Struthio camelus: one gene and its partner. The protein of the gene in region 1 purifies or fractionates together with the protein of each later gene. This does not show direct contact. Links are inferred from orthologs where the notes say so. Each region holds a gene or a part of one and is shown in the gene's direction. Other genes may lie near its edges.

What was found. Proteins that work in one complex are often made in the same cells at the same time.
Region 2: the proteins of POLR2B (region 1) and MED19 purify together in Homo sapiens (affinity purification with mass spectrometry; 4 studies listed by BioGRID and IntAct, with this or other methods). This does not show direct contact. The link is inferred for Struthio camelus from reciprocal best matches to the Homo sapiens genes POLR2B and MED19.

The regions. Positions count from the first base shown.
Region 1 is NC_090945.1:3,512,585-3,520,691, forward strand, and holds the start of POLR2B (DNA-directed RNA polymerase II subunit RPB2), read left to right. Parts: upstream 1-5,049; 5' UTR 5,050-5,254; coding exon 5,255-5,273; intron 5,274-5,697; coding exon 5,698-5,770; intron 5,771-7,341; coding exon 7,342-7,492; intron 7,493-8,107. Other genes in the region: NOA1 (nitric oxide-associated protein 1), read right to left, coding at 1,499-1,695, 2,810-2,974, 3,973-4,912. UniProt on the Homo sapiens protein: Catalytic core component of RNA polymerase II (Pol II), a DNA-dependent RNA polymerase which synthesizes mRNA precursors and many functional non-coding RNAs using the four ribonucleoside triphosphates as substrates.
Region 2 is NC_090946.1:7,469,301-7,476,420, forward strand, and holds MED19 (mediator of RNA polymerase II transcription subunit 19), read left to right. Parts: upstream 1-4,079; 5' UTR 4,080-4,098; coding exon 4,099-4,297; intron 4,298-4,638; coding exon 4,639-4,895; intron 4,896-5,004; coding exon 5,005-5,101; intron 5,102-5,189; coding exon 5,190-5,284; intron 5,285-5,511; coding exon 5,512-5,580; 3' UTR 5,581-6,597; downstream 6,598-7,120. Other genes in the region: TMX2 (thioredoxin-related transmembrane protein 2), read right to left, coding at 1,537-1,683, 1,877-2,006, 2,132-2,197, 2,277-2,383, 2,481-2,557, 2,822-2,935, 3,113-3,173, 3,572-3,910. UniProt on the Homo sapiens protein: Component of the Mediator complex, a coactivator involved in the regulated transcription of nearly all RNA polymerase II-dependent genes.

The DNA.
Region 1 (8,107 bases):
TCACTGAGCAGCTCAGCAATGAGGACTCATCTATCTCATTTCGGCATTAAACGACTGAGCTACAAGGGTTGTGGTGCAGCCAGAAGCACAAATGCTTTTCCTACGACGGTGAGCAAGTGATCTTTAGTTTGAAAGCCATGGCAGCCTTTAGCATGGATTCTGGAACGCCAGGAGGCTTTGCTCTGCCAGCTGCAGGTTTTCTGATGTGTTTGGCAATGCTTAAAACCCAAATTTGAGAGTTACCAGTAACCCTTTGCTACACTTTCCAGAAGTTTGGCTTTGTAAGAAGGCATGAGGAAGCAGCTAAAAACGAACCTCTAAAGAACACAGACAAATATGTTAACAGCTGCTTTCCCTCCCTCTTCTTCCAAAATACGAAAAACTACCCCCACCCCCAACTGGAAGTCTACCCCGCCAAAATTTGGCGCACAGATCATCCTGCCTGTCCTCTAGCCAAAGTGAACACTGACTGCAGAAACAAAATTTGACCTGAAACTTGGCATATATTCCACCTAATCTCTCCGAAGACACAGCAAGGATAATCAGAATCAGAAATGGCATCATGAATTTCCTGGATGCAGGAAAACCCACTCATTTCCCACTTATTCAACTCCAAAATAACATGCCCAACCTCTAGTTACCAAACCAAGGCTCCAAGCCCCTGATGTCTTTTATACCAGATGCTTAGCAGCCAGCAGAGAGCGAAGGGCCACGGCAAAGTGGGTTGCGATAGGACACACACGTCCATCAGAAAACTGGTAGTAGTGCTTGTAAAAGCAGCATTGGTACTTGAGCTATGCAGCCTCAGTATGTTTCTTGCACTTCATTCCCTTTGGAACTTTTCTACCTCCTTGTACTTTTTATCTTCCCAAAAAGATGACCCTCAGCTCTGCACAGACACCAAAACAATCAAAACATAGCTTTTTCAGACACGTGCAATACAGCAGCACCGGCTTCAGAGCTGCTGCTCTAGTGAAACAGAGAGTCACGCCTGACATACTGGGGCTATTAATGGGAAGACTGCAAATCCGCTTGGCTTCAGGAAGATACTTCAGGTCTTTTTCAAAGATTTGGTCCAGTCACAAAATACTAGCTATTCTCCTAACGCTCCGTATGTGGTAACTTCACCTTGTTCAGTAGGCTGGCAGAGCTAAGACAGTGCAAGCTTCCTTGGGCAATGCTGGTATAAACTTGCTTATAACACTGTTATTCACTTCTCTTCATTTAACTGTTTACAAGTTTGCCTGTATTGTTCCTTTGCGAAGATCACAGTGTACGTCATTCAGGAATGCAATAGTGTTACATAACGCACCCTTCCCAGGTAAAACAAACAAACAAGGAAAAACAAGAAACCCCCTACCTTTTAACACGTTCACCCAAACTGAGAGACTCCTAAGCCTAGGAGCAGAGCAGAAATACTTTCCCATGTGCACAACTAAGGCAGGACAGTCCTCCTAATCTCTTGACCTCCTGTGACACAGCACCACAGAGTACCTACGCAGTTTTCCTTTACAATCCCTGGTGTGTCAAAACACCAGCGAGCATCCTTCACTTCGTTGTACGTGAACTCTTCCTTTATCTTGTGCTTCTGAGGGGAATAGCCGGGATCTTCGTCTACGCTGTACGAGAGCATGTCGGGGTCAAAGTCAACCACAGGGCTAGGCTTCTGCTGTTGGAACGTTCTTCCCACTCTTCCTGGATTAAACCAAAAAGTTTCCGGGTAATTAATTTATTAACTTGCATTTCCTTCAGTCAGATATCTGTCCCTTCCCTTCCTTACCTACCTGAAAAGAGGTGCACCACAGGTAACCTAACAGTGACAAAGATGATATGCAGCCAGAAACGTGGCTGCTCAAGAGCCAGCAGGGCTAATGAACTCCTTCTATATTTATTGCCTAACCCTCCTCGAGCCCAAATCCTTCGCAGTGACCAGATCACAAATGCCCCGTTATTTAACTGTAAAGGAGACGGCCTTTTTGTTGTTGTTTGTTGTTGACTGCCTTTTTTTTTTTAGGGCCTTCAGCTTTCAAACACAGAATTATTCAGATGCGCACAAACTACGATACAGTGCAACAAGGTCCTTTTTCCATTTTAGAGACAGTGAATTACTCCTCTTATGTCTTATGACATAGGTGTCCAGACACAGGTCATACCCCCATTTAAACACAAACGACTGTGTTTTATCTTTTGCTCTGGATATAGCGCAATGAAGGATGATCCAAACCACAACTTCATGACTGACTGCAGATTTCACAGTCATTTCAAGCTCCTGAAGTCAAAGCCATCTCTTGGCAACCCCCTCTTCAGGCTACATGCTAAACTGATGTACAACCACTGTGGCCTACTACCCAAACGTCCTCATTAAAATTCAACTTCCTTGTCTTCTTCAGGAATGAAAGAGGTGTGCTCTATCGCAGCATCCTTGTAATTCATTAAGACATCTGAACTGATGGGAGGTGCGCTGCACAGGGGAAACTTCTGCCATGTGACTACTGTGACAGCTGAAAAATAAGTATGCAAAAGAAATGCTAACCGCACTACTTTGGAAGGAGCTAGAGCTCTTGCAAGCATTACTTGGGATAAAAACTGGTCGGAATAACTTTAATGCCTACTTGCAAGTTTTTTATTGTCACTGTAGCTAGCATGTTCTTCCCTTAAGTAAGTGAAGATGAGTTGCTTCAGGGTGGAAGAAATTACTCATCAATAGCTGGACTTTATAGCAAATTAAGGAGTTAACAGTCCATCCTGTAGCACGCTATTTTCATCAGGACAGAAAGGCGATAGATACCTTTTGTCTGACAATACTCACCCACTAAGTAACCCTCCTTTTTAAGATGATTAAGGTACTTTTTTTCTTCATTACTTAGCTGGTCTTCTGTTTTTTCTGCCTCTGCTTTCAGTCGCTCCTGCCTTCGAAATATCCTGTCACACGTAGGGTTAATAATTGGAAATTTTAGCAGATTGAGCGTGGTTCCTGGAAAACAAACACACACACACTACATTTGGGTCTATTTAAGCTCTTTAACAAGAACAAAAAAACTGCTCCTCCCACTTTTGGCTGCAAACCAGTGACGCGAAGTTGGAAGGGGAATTAAGCATCAAGCAAACGGCTATAACCCGCCAGCCTCCTTTGGCAGGGTGGCTGCAATGAAGCGCCTGTCCCGCTCTCACCAATGTTTTGGTAAAAGGGCCTCAAGGTGGAGCGCTGAACGCAACCAGCAACTCACAGTTACAGCCACGTATACTCCCGCTCGCTAAAACCAGGCGAACGCTGGTATAGTCACAGGTCCTCAGGAGTCCTATGGTCCTCAGGAGAGCTGCTGTGCTGCAAGTCGGACTTCTGTGCATCAAAGCCTCACAGCACTGAGGCCAACTCTTGGGGACGTTAAGGCACCAGAATGAGGTCAGCGGCATCGGGGCCAATACCGATACAGCAGTTATAAACCTCGTCCTACCGTGACAGGCAGGAAGCGCACGTTGGCTCACCCCACCATGCCCTGACACCGCTGACCCTTTGACAGCGGGACCAAACACTGAGCCTTCTCTCAGCAGAGCGGTCGGCACCTCGCGCCTCTCTAACGCGGCGTTTAGATCGGTTCAACGCACCCTAGCTACGTCCTGCTCGCAAGGCAGCTTGGCTTTGCATATGACTACTTTACGGGTGCTCACCAGCCCCCCTCCCAGCTGCCCTTTAGCCCGGAGGGCATCCCCGATTCACAGGGAGATGGCAAGGCATGCAGATCAGGGAGGACCAGATCGCCTGCTTCCCAGAGCGTGTGCGAGTCAGCCCCCTCCGCGCTGTGACACGCGGCGGCGCCATGAGATGGGCAAACGCTTCACAGGGGGCTCGCACTGCCCCGGGGCGCCAGGCAGCGGGGCCACAGGCCGAGGCTGGGCCCAGCGAGCGAGCCTCCCGCCGGGGCTGGCTGTCCCCCACGTGCCCAGCAGGACCTCGGTCACAGCAGCCCTGACCTGGCCAGGGTGAGACGGTGGCACGGTCGACGACGTCGGGGGCGCGGGACTTGCAGAAGTCGGAGCGCAGCAGGGCATTGAAGAGCGTCGACTTGCCCGAGTTGGTGGCGCCCAGCAGGTAGACGTCGCCGGCGCCCCGCCAGGAGCGCTGCAGCCGGCTGACCAGCCCTTCGAGGCCGAAGCCCGTCTTGGCGCTCACCAGGCAGACGCCCACCAGCGGGGCCCCGCGCAGGCCCGCCTGGGCGCAGGCCGCCGCCACCCGCCGCCGCAGCCGCCCCAGGTGCCCGGGGCCGTCGCGGGGCAGCAGGTCCACCTTGTTACCCACCACCAGGACGCCGGCGGCGGGGGTGGCCGGGCTCAGCAGCGCCGGCAGCTCGGGCAGCAGCGGGTCGGGCAGCTCCAGCACGTCGAGGAGGTAGAGGAGGAGCGGGCCGCGGCCGTGGCGCGGCGGGCGGCGCAGCGCGGCGCTCACCACGAGGCGGTGCCGCTCCGGGGGCAGCGCCAACCGCAGCGCCCGGCCGTGGTGCGCCAGCAGCCAGCAGCGCTGGCACACGGCGGCGCGCAGCCCCGCCGCTCCGCCCGCTCCGCCCGCCAGGCTCCGGTACTTCTCCGCCGGCAGGAAGCCCGGCGCCGCGCCGTCGCGGCACTGCAGCTCGGCCCCGCAGCCCGAACAGCTCACGCCGCTCGGCGGCACCGACGGGTCGGGCAGCCCCGCCGCCGCCGCCGCCCTCGGAGCCCTCCGCTGCCGCCGCCGCTCCCCGCCCGGCTCCGCCTCCCGGTGGGGCGCCGCCGCCTCCCACCGCACCGGCTCCGGCTCGTACTCAGGGAAGACGAACTGCTCCTCCTCGCCGCTCGCCGCCGCCGCCCCCCGCCGCGGCACCGGCCGCCAGGCGCGAGCCCGGGCCAGCCCGCCCGTGAGGGCCCGGCCCAGGCGCTGCATGGCGCGGGCGAGCGCCGCCGCCGCCACCCGCCGGCGGCCACAGGCTCCGCGCGCTCCCACGCGGCTCCGCCCCGCCCGCCGTGCGGCGGGAAGAGGAAGGGCGTGGGCGCAGCAACCGCGCATGCGCCTTCCCCCGCGGTGCTTCCGACGGGGCGGGGCGGGGCGGGGGAAGGGAGCGGGCCACGGTTCGGCCCTGCGCGAGGCGGCGGTGACGCCTGCTAGGTGTGTGCGCGAGGCGCGCAGGCGCCTCCCCCTCCGTCGGCGGCTCGGTAGTGGTGGCCCGCGCTCTCTTCGCCTCTGTGTCGGCCGCCGCCGCCTGCGGCCTTCCCTACTGCCGCCGCCATGTACGACGCGGACGAAGGTGAGGGCGGGCGGCCGCTCCCGGCCTGAACCGTTATCCTCTTCGGCCGGCCCCGGCGGAGGGGCCAGGAGAGCCGTTGGGCTCGCCCACGGCCTACCAGGGAGGGTGGGAGCAGGAGAACCGTTGGGCTCGTCTACGGCTTACTTGGGGGCGGGGGGGGGGAAGAGCCGTTGGGCTCGGGTCGCGCACTGCCCGCTAGGGGGTGGGGGCGGGAGAGCCGTTGGGCTCGCGCGGAGTCCGCGTTTGGGGCTCGGTGCAGACGGGGGAGCTACCGGCGCCGGCGTGAGGGGCTTCCACAGTCTCCTGCGGCCATGGGCGCTGCCGGGGTGCCCCTCTGCCAGTCGTATGCCGGCCCCGCGTTAGTAGGCAAGTAGAGGTAACGTGGATATCGAAGTCTAACTTGCACGTTATGCTTCCTGGACAGATATGCAATATGATGAAGATGATGATGAAATCACTCCTGACTTGTGGCAAGAAGCATGCTGGATTGTTATTAGGTGACTTTCTAAAATTCACTGTTCTTTACGCTTTGGGTCTTAAAGGTAGTATCTAGTTTGCTAGCAACACGTGATGGAAATGCAAGAATTGTTTCTACTAAATAATATGTTTCGTTACTTTTTGAACAGAAGGGCTTTAAGCAGAAACAGCAAGGTTTTGACTGCTGGCCCTGTATATACACTGTTAGGGATTAAGAAGCCCTACTTACTCTCAGTTCAGCTAGGCTATCTGAACTGAAGTACGAAATTATTTTGATCCCAAATCACGCACATCATCTTGCCCGTTACTCTCGCAGTGCGTGCTGACATTAGGAGATCAATACTTAGCAGTTTGCCATATTAGTGTTTTATTAGTACTACATGAAGGCCCAGGCTCTGCAGCTTCTTGCGCCTCTGAGAGAGTGGAAGGCTGTGTGGAACTAGGCAAAAAGTGTTTCTCTTTGTGTCTTAGAGCAGCAGTTCCCAAACGGAAGGGCGTACCTGCAGCGCTAGACCTGTAGCCTCTCTGGGTAGAGAGTAGGGATGAGAAACCTCGGAGGCAGAAGGAGGTCCTTTCTCTTGTCTGGCAGCCTGGTGATGAGCGTTAAATTTATTCTGAATCAGGTGGGAGGGAACTGGGACAAATCCTTCAGCTGGGGCTAGAGCTCACTCCCAGTAAGGATTTAGGTTGCCCTTTCCTTCCCTTCCTCCTTCCTTTTGTGCAATGGCAGGCTATGCTGACAGGGTGCACTGTGGCAGCGGCACAATAGGCAAGGCTATGTTTCCGTTCTTGGAGAAGCCTGAAGTCACTGATAGGGAGGTAGTTGTTACAAGTTTTCTGCAGAGGTCTTGTAGGTGAAGGAGCAAAAGCTGGAGTAAGTAAGGGTTCCCTGGCTGGCTTCAGGAATGCAGGGTCGTGGGAGGAGAGGAGCTTGCTGGCAGGAGCTAATGCAGTGAACGTGTTTAGATCATCCCATTAGAAGCTAGGCTGCGAGCTTGGCATTCGGGCTTGGATAGCTACAATTGGAGTGTTTTGGTAGGTGAAACAAAGGTTAGACGGAATCCAGAAGCTGCTGGAAGGGGTGAAGCTGGAAATTTCTGTGTGGCTGGAACAGAGGTGATCTGAGCTAAGAAAAGTTCTGAGAACTGTTGTCTTGAATGAGGGGCCTACAATTGTATGCTCTCAGTTTACTGCAGCTTGGGAAATGATCTGCAGCAAAGTAATTTGTCATGTGCATTGTAGAAGATATTAGCTGAAGCTACCTTTACTGAGGTTTTAAGTCATCCTGTTTCACTTCTAATTTGAGATAAACTGTGCATACAGCCATGGCTTAACCAAGAAGGGGCAGCAAGTCTGTCACTTTGTCGTGTCTATGCCTTCAAATACTGAGAGAAAAAATTTAAGTTTTTAACAGTCCTGAGCAGCTGTGTTTGAAACTTGTGCCTCAAGAAAAGTCAATGCTTGTATTTTGATATTGTATTCCAGGACTCCTGAAGGTTTGATAATAAACAAGTCTTGAACTTGTCGATATGTGGAGTACGTGAGTTAACTTAAGAGCTCTTCTTGAATAATATACTTTTTTTTTTTTTAGCTCCTACTTTGATGAGAAAGGCCTAGTCAGGCAGCAGCTGGATTCTTTTGATGAGTTTATTCAGATGTCTGTGCAGAGAATTGTTGAAGATGCTCCACCAATTGATTTGCAAGCTGAAGCCCAGCATGCCACAGGAGAAGTGGAAGAGCCAGTAAGTGGAGACCCTGCAGAGCTATTTTGGTTTTGCAATGCAAAATGATTTTCCTTTATTTAGATGCGTTTTATTCCCTCCCCTCTCAAGAGTCAGAAATAAGTCAGAGGTCTGACACTGCTCCTGGAGTGAATGGGCAGACAGGTGAAATGTCTGGATTCTATGAGGTACACGCCCAAGTTTTCAAGTAGTCAAGCTTACTGCCGAGAAAAACATACAAGAGCATTGTTATCCGTGAATCCCGACTTTCCTCTCCTGTAGAGTTAGTGACTCTTTGAGTTGAGGAATGACCGATTGGCTGCTGTAGTTCATCCTGTCAATTACTGTGTGATACCACTCAAGACTGGGAGCAAGCATCACTGATAGGAATGTGGCAGAACAAGACAGCTAGCCAAAAACAAACCTTATTTTGATGGGATTTTGCATTTTCAATAACTTTATCATGGCAGGAGAAGATTATGGCTAAAATGTTCTCTGCTAGCTTTCTTCATCTAAAGTTAGGCCTGGGTTTTCGAAAGGTGCATTGCTTATCGTCTCCCATTAGCACCGTGTAACAAAGGAGAACAAATTGTCTAAGGTCTGTTCTGTGTGATGGCCCTTGACAAATTGTGTGTA
Region 2 (7,120 bases), on another chromosome or scaffold:
CACACCCCCCTCGCCCAGCAGCCCCCATCCAGCACACCCCCTCCACCCAGCAGCCCCCCTCCCCTCGCCCAGCAGCCCCCATCCAGCACACCCCCTCCACCCAGCAGCCCCCATCCAGCACACCCCCCTCACCCAGCAGCCCCCATCCAGCACACCCCCCCCACCCAGCAGCCCCCCTCCCCTCGCGCAGCAGCCCCCATCCAGCACACCCCCCTCGCCCAGCAGCCCCCATCCAGCACACCCCCCTCGCCCAGCAGCCCCCCCACCCAGCAGCCCCCCTCCCCTCGCCCAGCAGCCCCCATCCAGCACACCCCCCCCACCCAGCAGCCCCCCTCCCCTCGCGCAGCAGCCCCCATCCAGCACACCCCCCTCGCGCAGCAGCCCCCATCCAGCCCCCCTCCCCTCGCCCAGCAGCCCCCATCCAGCAGCCCCCCTCCCCTCGCCCCGCACCCCCCCCCCGCCCAGCAGCCCCGGCGGCCTGGGCGCAGCGCTCACCAGTGCTCGATGACCACGCGGGGGCCGCTCCCCCCGGGGCCGCCCCGGACCCGCTTCTGCGGCGCATCCGCTTCCTCCTCTGCCCGGACCTCGGTCGCCTCCGGGGCGCCGCGCTTCTTGCGCCGGGGAGCCATGCTGGGGAGAGCCGGGGCGGGCTGAGCGCCGGGGGGGCCCCGCCGGGCGGATAGCAAGGGAGGAGGAGCCCCGGGAGCGGGCCGCGGCTGGGGGGGGGGGGGGGGGCGAGGTTCCCCCCCACCCGAGGAAGGCCGGGGACCCCCCGGGGGCGGGGAGGGGAGAGCCGCGGAGCCGCCGCTACCTGCCGCGCTGCTCTGCGCCGCGCCGAGCCGGGCCGGGCACGTGGCGGGGCGCGGGGAACCGCTGCGGGCTGAGCCACCGGCACCGCCGCCGGCGGGGGGAACACGGGGCAGAGCGGCGCGGCGCAGCCCGCCGGTGCGAGCGGGCCGCCGCGGCCCCCCCCGCCGCACGGCGGCCGGACACTCCGTCACCGCTCGCCCGCTTCACCGCCCGCGGGCACCCCGGGGCGAGGGGGGGAATTTGGGGGGGGGTTGGAGCAACCCCCCCCCATGGGGCACAGTGGTTCCGCCCGCTCCCCCCGCCCCCTTCCCGCGGTTATGTAGCCAGCGCGGAAGGCGCAGCCAATCACGACGCGGCAGCCGCGGCGTGGCCAAGCCCCTCAGCGCCCACGTGATTTCCCCCCCCCCCCACGCACACCGGGGAGCGGTCCCCTCCCGCCGCCGCCGCCGCCGCCGCCGCCGCCGCCGCCGCCGCCGCGCAGCACAGGGACACGGCGGGGCGCTGCGGGCGTTTATTGACAGCCATGAGGATGAGCGTTCACCGGTGCGGGGCGGCTCTGCCCCGCCGCCTCCCAGCCCCCGCGGGCACGGGGCCGGGGCGCCTCGTACCGGGCCCCACACCCCACTGCACCGGGCGGCCGCGGTGACCCCCTGGGTGGCGCGGGGTGCAGGTCCCTCCTGCAACTTGGGGGGTGAGGGGGGGGGGCAACAGCAGCGTTGTCAGCTTCTACTTGTCCTTCTTGGTCTCCCCGTTGGCCAGGCCGGCGGCCGCCTGCGCCTCGGGCGCCTCCTCGGGCCCCTCATCCCGCGGCTTCGACTGCTTCTTGGCTTTGTGGTAGAGCTCGTTGAGGTTGAACTCCCTGATCACGTTCTCCTGCAGCCCAGATGGGCCGGGTGTCAGCACCCGCCAGCATCTCCCACACCTTCCTCCCCCCCCCCCCCCCCCCACAGCCCCGAGTGCCCTTCCCGCAGTGCTGGGAGCCACCAGCCACCTCCGGGGCCGGGTGCTGAACCGCGTCGTGCCCCAGAGGCTGGAGGACGCCAAGGGCTGGAAGGTCTCCACCCACCTCTGAGAAGGTCCAGGACACGGCTCGACCTTTCTTATCGATCTGTGGGCGACGCATGGTCTCCGTCCCGCCCTGGAAGAGGATGAGGGTGGGCAGCTGCTTGGTGAGGGGCGAGGTGCTGACTTTATACCTGCGGGAGGCGGACGGTGAGCCTGCGGGAGCTGCAGGGGCCCGGGGGCCCCCCAGACGTTCCCCCTTCTGCCCGGATAGGGGCTCTGCTGATGGGGGCCGTCCCCTTCCCCCGTCCCCGCAGACCTGGTGCTGACGTCCGTGTACCGGCCCACATCCACCTTCCCGAAGTGCAGCCCCGAGCAGTTGTACCTGGCGGAGAGACGCAGCTGAGAGCGCCGAGCATGACTGTGTCTCCCCCCCGCCCCAAACCCTGGTGGGCGCCGCTCACTTGAGAGAGAGGTCGGCGAAGATGGGGGCGAAGGACTGGCACTCGCTGGACCAGTTGGCGAAGAACTCGATGATCCAGGTCACCCGCTTGTCTCGTTCCAGCTCCTCCTGCCGCACGGGGTCACGGCTTGGCGGGGCGCGGCGGGGCGCAGCGCCCCCTCCGGCGCCGCCGTGCCCCGGCCCGGCCCGCAGAGGACATACTCACGTCTATGGTCTTGTCGTTGAAATACTTGATGTACTCGGGACCCATGTAGAGGGGCGGCTTGCAGGTCATCAGGAACACTGTAACGACAGCGCCCGTGAACCCGCTGCCTGGACGGGCCTGTTCCCGCAGGGAAGAGGCCCTTACCCTCACCCACACACCCGTTGCCCCCCGCCCCGAAAGCGGCCAAGAGAGCCAGGCTCGGTTCAGGATGAGGTTCCTCTTTCCCCGGACTACCCCTCTGGGCCTGTACGGAGGAGCGCTATGGACACCCTGTGCTCGGGGCAAGCGGAGCCGGGGGGCACCGCTGCGGCCCCTGGTGCCCCCATCCCCGCGGGTCTCACCTATGCACAGCGTGAGGTAGAGCAGGCCCATGCGGATGTCGAGACGGAAGAAGAGGATGGCGTTGGCCACTTTGCTGAACATGAAGATGTTGCCGATGTGCTGCTCCACAGTGACTGGGGGAGAGGGGTGAGAGCCAGGGCCAGATTCCCCCATCCCCTCTCAGCCGCCACTCCCCGAACTCCCCCCCTTCCTCTGGCTCCTACTCCATCCAGCTCTGCAGGGGATGGTCCACAAGCAGGCCCTGCCCCGCAGCCCCCCGCGCCCACCCAACAACGCAGGCCCCGACTCACTGGAGCGGCGGTTCTTCATCATCACGATGGCACTGAGGAACATGAGGATCTCCACCTCCCGCTGGGCACAGGAGAGAGGAGGTGAGCAGGAGGCACCCACCAGACCCTGCGGCCCTACCGCCCGCCCAGAGCCAGGGCGCTCCCAGCCCAGCCTGCCACAGGGACCTGGCGGCTGTGCCCCCCGCCACCGCTGCTCCCCCGTGCCATCCCTCAGCTCCTCTCCCTCCCGAGCACCGAGAGGCGGCCTGCGAGCACAGCCAGGAAAGGGGGCCGCCGTCCCCGAGGCGCTCAGGGAGCCCCCAAGCGGCGGGCCGGGGCTGGCAGAGCACTGCCGGCGGGCGCCAGGCCCGGCCCTCCCTCGGCAGCGCCGGGGAGCCGCGAGGAGAGCGGGCCCGGGGGCAGGAAGGACGTCGGGGACAGGCGGGACACGGGGCTCGGGCGGGCGGCAGCCCGCCTCACCCAGTCAAAGTCGCAGGGGTTGCCGTCCTCCCGCTGCGAGGGCAGGCCGCGGCAGAGCGGCGGCAGCTTGCGGACGAGCAGGAAGGCGGTGGCGAGCAGCGCCGAGAGCGGGTAGTAGGGCCGCGCCAGCCAGCGGCACAGCGCCGGCATCGAGTACAGCAGCGCCAGCAGCGGCGCCACCACCGCCATCTTCCCTCCGCTCGCCGCCGAGCTCTGCCGGCCACCGTACGGCCGGAGCGGGGCTCTTCTTATTGGGCCGGCCTCCTGCTCGTCAGCGGTGGGCGGGGCTCCTCCGCCGCTGGCCAATGGCGCGGCCCCGCTGCCAAGCTCTTCCGACATCCAGCCGCAGAAGGCGGGGAGGCGGCCAATCAGGATACTCGGTCCGCGCCGCACGTAGCAACGGGGGGGAAGGGGCGGGCCGTAGGCAGCGTTCAACCAATCTAAGCCGAGTGCCTGGGGCGCGGCTCTCCCCCCATAGGGTGGGGCGGTGCGGCCAGCCCGCCCCCGGCGCGGGGCACGCTGGGAGCATGGAGAATTTCTCGGCGCTCTTCGGCGGGGCCGAGCCGCCGCCCGCCGCCGCCGCCGCCGCGCTGGGCTTCGGACCGGCCAAGGCGGCGGGGCCCGGGGCCGGGCCGCCCCCCGCCGCCGCCGCGCCGCCGCCCGGCGAGGACGCGGCCCGCAAGGCCGCCGCCGCCGGCCCCTTCTACCTGCTGCGGGAGCTGCCAGGTACGGGGCGGGGCTCGCGGGGCGCTCCGCCAATCAACGCGCGGGAGGCGGGCGCCGCCCGCGATAGGCGGGGCGCTCCGCCAATTGGCCGCGCGGAAGCGGCACCGGGCTTCCGGAGGGGGGTAACGGACAGCGCGGTGGGCCAATAAGGTGCGGGGGGGGGAGAGGGAGAACGAGGCGCAAACTGACAGCCCGGCCGGCTAATGGGATGCAAGAGGAGGGGCGGGGCTGAGCGGCGCACCACCCAATAGGGGAAGGGCGCGGGACTGGGGCCTCGCAGAGGTATCCCATAGTGCTTTGCCCTGGCTCCCGCCAACATGGACGGCGGTGGGGGCGGGCAGGCACCACGGAGCTGACGGGCAGCACCAACCTCATCACGCACTACAACCTGGAGCACGCCTACAACAAGTTCTGCGGCAAGAAGGTGAAGGAGAAACTCAGCAACTTCCTCCCCGACCTGCCGGGCATGATCGACCTGCCCGGCTCCCACGACAACAGCAGCCTGCGCTCCCTCATCGAGAAGCCCCCCATCTGCGGCAGCTCCTTCACCCCCCTCACCGGCACCATGCTCACCGGCTTCCGCCTCCACGCCGGCCCGGTGAGCCCCGGCGCTGCCAGGCCCAGAGGCAGCGCGGAGGGAGGGAGGGAGGGAGGCCTGGCGCGGGCTGACGGGCCCCCTCGCCCTCTCTGTCTCTCTCTCTGGGCAGCTGCCGGAGCAGTGCCGGCTCATGCACATCCAGCCGCCCAAGAAGAAGAACAAGCACAAGCACAAGCAGAGCCGCACCCAGGATCCCGTCCCCCCGGGTAAGGGACGCGCCTGGCTCCCGCAGCACCCCTCACCACGAGAAGCCCGCTGGGCACCCCACTGACCCAGCTCTCTCCCTTCCTTCAGAAACCCCCTCGGACTCTGACCACAAGAAGAAAAAGAAGAAAAAAGAGGAGGATCCTGAGCGGAAGAGGAAGAAGAAGGAAAAGAAGAAAAAGAAGGTAGGTGGGGAGAGCCAGGCTCTCACCCACGGCCCCTGTGGGCCCAGGCCCTCCCCGCGCGCCCCCCCAGGAGCTGCCTGGCCCCGGGAGCTGCCGAGCAGCCCTTCCCCGGGCCGCTGATCAGCAGGAGGTTGGAGGGGGCTGAGTGACGCTGGGAGGGCGCCGGTGGCGGGCGGGCTCCGCTCGGGGCTCACGGGGACGCGTGTGCCTCTGTCCCTCCTTGCCAGAACCGGCACAGCCCGGAGCACCCGGGCGTGGGCAGCTCCCAGGCCAGCAGCAGCAGCAGCCTGCGGTGAGGCGTCCGCTCCGTGGATCTCCCAGCCGACGGGAACGGCCTCAGCTCACCCGAGACGGACTCGTCCCTCCTGCCGGGCTCGGTGGGGGCACTCGGGCTGGCCTGTCCCCCCGGCGGAGAGGACGTCCCCAAAGCACCCACGTGCGCTTCCTGCGGAGGGCAGGAGTCACGGACTCCGCTGGAACCGCTGTGGGGAGTTGCTGCCTGTGGCCTTTTATACCAAAACAACGCGGTGCATCGGGCTCTCTTTTTTTATTCACTTTTTAATTAAAAAGGCTCTGCTCCGAGGAGGGGCTGGTGACTGTGGCTGCTGCCACCGTCGGCCCTTGTGCCAGGGCGCGGAGCGGACACGTGGGGCGTGAGTGAGCGGTGCTGCCTTAGGGAGCAGGCGTGGGGGGGAAACTGAGGCAGAAGGGGGAGGGGGGAGCCCGGGGCAGGATCTGACTGCCGGGAAAGAGGGGTCCTACCTTGGCTGCGGCTGCTCAGCTGAATACAGAACCCCTCCACTCCGCTGAGCGGCGCTTCGCTGAGGACAGCGGCGACCCCGGCGAGGTGCCGAGGCCGGCAGCGAGCCCCAGGGCAGGTGTCGCAGCGCTGGAAGCGCCGGCCAGCTGCGACAGCGGCCGAGGAGCGGCCGTAGGGCGTCCCTTCGGTCCCCGAAGCGGCTCAGGCTCCTGCGCGACTGTGCCCTGGAAGCCGCTTACGTCGGACACCCGAGAAGCCCGACTCGGCCCCTTGACAAAACGCTGACCTGTGGCGGGAGCGGAGTTTGCCCACGGGCGCCCGTCCTCAAATCGGGGTAATCCCTACGGTGAGGGCGGCCCGGCCCGGAGGCACTACACCTTAGCGCTGCTGGGCTTGGGGGCCCCTCGCTGCTCTGCTGCGGCCCAGCTTTCTCTCCCCCTTGCGCGGTGGGAGGGAAAGGTGAGCCGCAGGAGGGGCCCCTCTATCCCTGGATGCTAAACAAAGCACACGCGTGGCTCCTGCGATGGCTCATTAAATCTCCTTTTATTCCTCATTTTAAAATGGCTAATTAAAAAAAAAAAAAAATCCAATGGCTCTGCAGAGGCCACAGGAGACATATTGCCGTAGAGAAAGAGTCGAGTAGTGCCTAAAGTTTCACTGCACCTGCACAAGTTGGGTAGCCCTTTGGGGGGGGGGGGAGGTGATGGGGGAGCGCTGGACTCCTCGGCTGCTTTTTTTTGGCATGGGATGAGAAAAATATTGCTTTACGGGGCTGTGCCCCGCTGGCCTTCCTCTTTCCCCGAACGGAAATTAAAAACAACCGTGTGACAGCGAGGAAAACTCTTAACGGACCTGACAAAACAAGACTAAAAGGAAAAAAAAAAAACCTGGGGAAACATTTAAAAAAAAAAAAAACAGCTAAAACCATGAGCGCGGCCAGGCTGGTGAGCACAAGGGTTTCTGTCCAGGGCCCTGGCCTCTGCGCGAGCCTGGCGCCCCGCGGGCCTGCCCGGCGCGTGAGCTCACCCTTCGCTTGGGAGAGCAGCGCAGTAGGCAGCAGCCTCAGCCCGTCCTCA